2 linked regions of the Canis lupus familiaris genome follow. The protein of the gene in region 1 interacts with the protein of each later gene in a pairwise test. Links are inferred from orthologs where the notes say so. Each region holds a gene or a part of one and is shown on either strand. Other genes may lie near its edges.

What was found.
Region 2: the proteins of SIAH1 (region 1) and PEG10 interact in binary tests that used the Homo sapiens proteins (3 or more experiments, as listed by UniProt). The link is inferred for Canis lupus familiaris from reciprocal best matches to the Homo sapiens genes SIAH1 and PEG10.

The regions. Positions count from the first base shown.
Region 1 is NC_049223.1:65,986,787-65,990,539, forward strand, and holds the start of SIAH1 (E3 ubiquitin-protein ligase SIAH1), read left to right. Parts: upstream 1-1,052; 5' UTR 1,053-1,549; coding exon 1,550-1,640; intron 1,641-3,753. UniProt on the Homo sapiens protein: E3 ubiquitin-protein ligase that mediates ubiquitination and subsequent proteasomal degradation of target proteins.
Region 2 is NC_049235.1:20,084,112-20,087,764, reverse strand, and holds part of PEG10 (retrotransposon-derived protein PEG10), read right to left. Parts: intron 322-3,653; 5' UTR 201-321; coding exon 1-200.

The DNA.
Region 1 (3,753 bases):
CTGCCCTATCAGCCTGAGACCGCTCTAGGGTGAATGTATTAGGAAATGAAAATGTAGGTAATAATAATTTATATTTGTCAGTGAGCAGACTTTATCTAACTTCATCCATATTTCTATTCCCAATGATGTTTCATGTAGCCTAATATTAACGTGAGGTTGAAATGACTGAATACAATAGGGTCTGGAAGTGATTGGAACTAAAATTTGATTTGGAAAATGGGTAATCTACAATTTACTGCACAGGGTTCATTCCCACCATGAGCTCCTGCTGTGCGTTTAAAGGCTGCCCTATAAGCATGATATAATGACAGGTTAAACCCCTGAGTGTACCACCTGACGCAGGGCAAATCTGAGGCCCAGGACTTTATTGGGGCCCGTGTAATGCTTCTTTAAAAACACAAGCTTCTCTGTTTAATGAGGCCATTTAAGATGGTTTTCCCAGACTGGGAAGAGAATATAATCTCAGTTTGGAGGTTGAAGGAGTTTAATAGAGTTACGGGTGTTTACTACTCTCACTGCAATCTATTCGAAGGAAGAGAAGGAGTTTCAAGTATGATGTCACCAGGGATAGAAGTGGAGGAGTGAGTTAGAATTGAGGAAATCGGGTCGTTGACGCCCAGTATATAGTGAACGAAGTGGGGAGAGTGCTTTTACTCTATGAGCACAGTTCACACATGGTTAACCAGGAGAAGAGCACTTTTCTGGCCACGTAATTCTCATATACTCTATGTAGGTCTTAGGTTGAAATCATACAGAATTGGCAGCATCTGTTTTCTACAGAAAGACATGTTTCGAACTAAATGTAAGCTTGTGGAAATGGGTGAGGTTGCAGTGTTGCCTGGGGTCGAGGGCAGGGTCTGGGTTGTGCGGGGCAGCGCCCCAGCGGCCCTGGGCTGGGGGGCGGGGCTTGCGGGCGTGACCACCGCGCCGGCCCCGCCCCGCCCCGCCCTGTCCGGCCCCGCAGGCCCCGCCGGCCCCGCCCCGCGCTCGCTGCGGCTGGGCTGGGCTGGGCTGGGCTGGGCGCTGCGAGCGGAGGCCGGCGGGCGCTGCGGGCTGGAGCAGGCTCCCCCAGCACCGCCAGGCCCAGCCCTGGGCCCCGCGTGGCTCTCCGGCGGGCCGGACCCTGCGGCAGCTCCGAGCTGGCTCCGGGGTGCGCCTGACCAGCCCCCGCGCACCCTGCAGCCCCATCCTTCACCCACGCTGGCGGGCTAGTGAATGTGGGGAAGACAAACTTCCAGGGCAGGCGGTTGAGGGCCCAGCGGAGGACAGCTCCGGTGATGGCGCCCATTTTTGGAAACGCAGGCGAATTGGAGCTCGCGGGGAGGTGTGGTGGACTCCTGAGGGGACGGGAGAGGCTTCGTTCCTCTGCTGCTGCGGCAGCCGGTGCTTCGGAGGAGTGAATGGGGGATCCTAGAGCAGGGCGCTTACCTTCGCTGCTTGAAGACTTGAACTCCGACGTGCTTAGGAGCAGAACGTGTCCATCCAGCAGGGCCTCTGTTACAAATCGTGTTTGCTCCTGGGGGAAGGGCTATGAGCCGCCTGACTTCTCATGACCGGGAAGTCTCCCTTACCTTTTCCGTACTCCTGGAGGGGCGTCTTGCTCACATGTCTGCCAGCAGCTGGGACAAGGAAGAGAAAAGGTATTGACACCAAGAGACTGGGATGCTTAAAGTATGAACCGGGAAAAGTTGTGAGCTGGGGGAATCGGGATCAGGGAGTGGCTGCAATGTAATTGAGCTCTAGTTTGCATTGCTGTTTCTTTTGATCTACTGTACTTTTCTCTGTTTAAACCAAGCTTCAGGTTACGTCATCACTCCTGCAGGGTTGTCTGAAGACACTTGAGTCCGTGGTTCCTACTGCAGGGCTGCTCTGTGGTTGGGGTTCTTTTTGTTTGAAGATGGAGCTGGGTTCCACCTTTGGTGCTTTGGGAGGTTTTAGCACCTTCTGTCCTGTAATACCTCCATTCGCAAGAAATACCGGCCTCATTTCACTTGTTTTCACTCTTTAGAGATTTAAACTGTTTTTTTGTTTTTTGTTTTTTGTTTTTTTTACAATGTTTGCAAAAGTAATAAAGATAATATTGGAATGTAAGCCTGAATGATTGATGATTATGTATAGTTATTTGCTCGGTCTGGAAATGAAACGATAGTATTTTTCTTGCTTATATTTTCCTAGTTCTATTATTTTGAATACAAGCCGAGTTTACTGTTCCTTGATGTGATTAGCTTGTTTGGTTTAGTAATTTGAAAAGGCATCAGTGGTTTAGACTGTTTTGTGTGCAGGGAGCCACTTTCCAATTCTAACATTGCTCACATAAGTGAGCAGTATAAAATGGACCACGAGACAGGCATACAGCATATACGTGGGGCATTTTGGCAAGGCTGAGCCCGTTGTTTCCAAGTGGTAGAAAATGCATGGATCATCGTACTCACAAAGAATCAAACACCTGGGTTGTACAGTGTTTCAGGTGATGAGAATTGATTCCCGTTGTCCCTTAAGTCCATGTGACAAGCCACCTTATGGTGGAATTCTGTACTTTTGTAGACTCTTGAATTGTAGAATATTAACTTTAGTTGACAGTGGACTATTTTTTTTGTCACCTTCAACCCTCACTTGGTGTCTATCCTTGAGTAATCTAGAAGTCCAGTTGCTTTTATATAGTCACATGGGTAACCAGCGTTGTTTTCTTAAAGTCAGGTTCTTTGCAGCAATAATGATTACATTGAGGAAGCATTAAATTTGAGGCATTCAGTTTTAGTTTTGTTAGAAATATGGTTTGTATAGTTGTTGGGAATACAGTCTTGGGACATCAGTAGACTGATCTTTTGTTATCCCTGAGACAAATATGGCCTGTCATATCCTAACAAAGTAGATTCCTGGGAAAGGTATTTATTTGCTTTATCTTTCATTTAGCCTGACAAACTAGTTACATTGTTGTCGTTTCTTCCAGATGACATTTATCTCAAATAATATTTATTCCTGTGCTGATGAATGCTTCAGCAACACTAGTGAACCCTAGGATACAAGGAATTCTTAACCTGTTTACTGTCCCCAATGTTGCATGTGTCTCTGGTGTTTTAATCTTTATTCTTTAATTACTTCTTTTCTTCCCCTTTTCAAATTATATGTAATTTTATTGTGCAATGGAAATAGAGTAGAAAGATGTACTTTCTCTGAGTACCTAAAAACTTTTGAGATTACCCTCCATTTCTCTTCTCTTTCTCCCACCTTTATTATGGGGCCTACTGATCAGTAGGAAGTAAGATTAATTAACACGTAGCTGGTGTTCAGATTCTAGGGGAAGACTTAATAGATGAAGGTGCATGATGGGATGGCAGCAGATCCTTCCCCTGACGACCCCTCCATCCCTAAATCTACAACTGAAGCAGATAACTGTTTGCCATTAGGCGGAGTTAATCAGAGCTGATGTCCTGGGTGATCCTTTGGATTACTTGTGACTGACTCCCTGTCACTGTTTCGAGCTGCCTTAGAATGGAAAAGAAATGGACTGAGCAGGGCAATTGAACACCGAGGGAGAGGGGAAAGTTCAGTGAAAACAGCTTTGGTTGAACTTAAGCTACTTAACACAGGGTTTCTTAGTTGTTTACAGTCTGGTTTCTGTTTCAGCATTTATTCCATATTGTATAATTCATCCAAAGGGATTTTTTAATATTTTTTTAAGAAAGGGAATTCTACATGTGTTTTGGGACATTTTGATAAAAGAGATTTTATCTGGTCCACAACTCCTATAAT
Region 2 (3,653 bases), on another chromosome or scaffold:
TTCATGACCTTCTCTCGGAGGTTGTTGATCTCTTCAGAGAGATCGTCTCGCCTTCGTTCGGCCAGGTTGGGGATGTACTGGCCCCTTGGGGCGCTGCGTGAGGATGAAGAAGAGGAAGAGGAGGAGGAGCAGGAGGAAGAGGAGGAGGAGGGGCCGTTGGGGGGAGGAGGAGGAGGAGGAGGTGGGCAGTCGGGCCCCAGGGTGAGGGTTGGCGTGGGAGGAGACCTCCCAGGTGTAGCTTCGCTCCTGTGGGGATGGAGGCCCTGATCCTGGCCTCCTCTTCCACCCTTTCTTCGTTTTGTTTTCAAAAGCTTTTTGTTTCTGTAAAGGAAGATAAAAGCAGAAGTTTATCATCCACGTTCAAAGCAGCACACTACAAAAAAGATTTTAGCATCTAAAGTAGCCACTAAAGTACCTTAAATACGTGAGTATTTAAAGTAGCCATTAAAATACTTTAAATACATGAGTATTTAAAGTATCCACTAAAATACTTTAAATACATGAGTATTTAAAGTATCTCTTTGCTCTACTTGCTTACATTAATATTTAATAAACAAACACAGATCTTGCAAAAGGGAGAAACAAGTTAATAATCAATTAAGACAATAGGTAGTAACAAAAAGCACCCTACTTTTTAACGTCCAAATGACCTTTTTCCTCATCAAATGTCACCTATTATGATTCAACAACAATGCATACCGGTATCAACAGCAAGTTTACCTTCACTGACCGTAAAAGAATGCGGAGACATTCCAAAATACCAGTTTGGATCAGGAGGGCACAGCAAGAAACTTTCAAGTCAAAGATGGAGACCAAATTAAAAACACAAAGCCAAAATGATAATTGTTATTAGACGGGTTACCTGAAAAAGAGCTAATAATCCAGCCAATAGGGAACCAAAAAGAAGGGTGGGGGATTTAAATCACACTGCCTGTATTCATCAGCCGGGGGAGGGAAGAGGGCACTACCTCCATGGTGAAGGTCACTAACTGATTATCAAAACAAACAACAACAACAACAACAACGGTCACGAAACCCACAAGATTGTCTAAATCCAACATAATCTGATTTCCCAGAGAGAATTCCCTTCGGGACAGAAGTGGCACCGAGCAGCAACGTTGTGTATCAGCCTCTCTCCTTATTATGCAGTTCATCAACAAATGTTAATTGATGCCTCCTAGGAAGAGCTAGGCTATTAAATGGGACAGTCAAAAAAGCCCAAAAAGAGAATACCTCAAATTTACAGTATGGATTTAATTAGGTAATGCAGGTAAAGCAGTGAATACTTAACAACTGTTAGCTGATATTAATAAGAAAGGTAACTTTCTGTGTAAAGAGGCTAAGATTAAAACAGGGAGGGCCTGCAACTATGGCAACCTAGGCAGGCATTTCCCACCTAAAGACATTACTTTTTTTGGGGGGGGGGGGAGGGGGGAATACGCTGTTGGCCAAACAAATCCAGGGCCTCATTTGATTTGCAGGTCACCAGTTTCCAACTTCTGGTTTTTAAACAAGATTTGTCAGCACAGTCCCACCCAAAAGTTTATAATTTAGAGCAGGATAGGGCTGTACTCCTAGGTGGTGAGTAGCAACATGGGGGGCATTGGGGGTTTGGGGGATTAAGGTCTTAATTATGGGTATGGTGACAATAAATCACACATACAATAAATCCAGCAGTGTTTATGTACTTCCTAAAATGAGGGTTAAATGCATTTATAGTAACTTAATTTTAACTTTTTATAATTTTTAAATGAGCATTAAGTTCTCATATTTGGAAAACTTTAGGAAAGCGCTCAAAAGTTTAAAACCATAATTTGTAAAAGCAGGCAGACTGCCCATTCACTAAATTTTAACTTGGCATTCCTGGTCACCTGTTCTTCTCTGACCCATCAAGGCAATAATGGACACTAAATTAATTATATTAATTAAAGCCCACAAAGATAAATGTGTTATTCAAAGAAGTTATGTGAAAAATAGCTAATATTTCAATCAATAGGGTACAAGAAAAAAAAATGAGGCCCTGGATTAGTCACAAAATAGTGTGATTTTGATTTATTAAATTAAAATCTTTATTTTTTTAAATTAAAAGCTTTAATGTCCCATTAAAAAACAATAAACACAAGTCAGGTGACTCAAGTGCCACTTCTGTATCTAGACATTAATACTTAGAAAACTTAGAAAACTTCTGGAAAGGCCTTCATAGCTCGGCCTGGCGTTGCCTGACCCAGGTCAGGAAGGTTAACAACCCACATGTCAATCACAGTCATTGGGGGGAGCTTTACTGAGGTTCCAGTCTCATGGTTTTAATATCTGCAAAACATAATAATAGGACAGATATAACAACACATTCAGAAATCAGCAAACAATCATTGTATATTGTTTAAGGAATCAAAAGATCAATAAGGGCTTAAAATGCAAATGATTTTAGTAGACAGGAAGGTAACATAAAAGTGAGAAGAAACTGGAGTTAAGACAATAAGGAGTGGGCTGGTGACTATGTAATTTAGGGATGCATGTCCCCTCCCCAGAAACATTCAATTCTTTAAAATATTTTTAATCCAGTGCTGGTCAAATAAATTAAGGGCCTTATTTGACTTGCAAGGTCACCAGTGTGAGACCCCTGACCTTTACCAAGATCAGGCATCAGGTACCCACCCCTGGGATTTTTAATTTTGGTGTGGGATTCTAAATCCTAAAGGAGATAACTGCCCAGAGAAGAGTAGTGTAACCTTTAAAAAACATAGGATAGTCGGCAGGCAGGTTAACATTCAATGTAAATAAAGCTTAAAGATATTTAAATAGCAACTAGAGCACCAGTTAATTTGGGAACAGGAGCACTGTGACTTGATTTGCACCTCCCACCCCTTACTAGGGGCTGGATTGTGGAGGTCAGGCCCAAAGGCCCCATTCCTAAAACCTGAAATGACACACAGTACTGAGCCAAGTCACATGGGATAGATGTCACCTTTACACATGAAAAAGAATCCAGTGTTAGTCTATATAGGAATTAAATACATTTGATTGACCTTTGACTCTTCTTGAAGACTTCTAAAAACTTGTTCCCCAAACACACCAAAAAGTAACAGTAGCCAAAAAACACTGCACATTAAACATCTCATTAGAAAATGACACTTCATTAAGCAACTCTTAATTGCTTTATATTTTCAAATGTCCCAATTTCTTTTTTAGTACCATGTATACTATTTGTGAAATGCAAATTATATTAATATGCATATTTTTACCATTGTTTTGAACTTTAAAAAAAACATAGAATTTCGAAAGGAAGTGGGGGTAGGGTGACGGGGGGGGGGGGGGGGGGGGGGGGCTGGGGATTAACTGAAAGCTGTAATTACCACAAGTATAAATACATAAAGATATGTAAATTGCATATTTATTAGGGGGTGGGTGACAGATATTTGGGAGTCAGAGTCCTGGCTTATGGCTTACAATATATGAAACCAGGTTTTAAAATTTCTTCATTTTATTAGAAACATAAACATGGTACATCTGACTGGAGGTAAGGCATCAGATGTTTTATGTGTATGTTTTATAATGCCAGCTAAAACCCTCCAATCTATTTTTTAATGTAACCACTTTATGTTACATTATACAAAATGTAAATATGACAATTATGTACCATTGTGAAGTAGTCC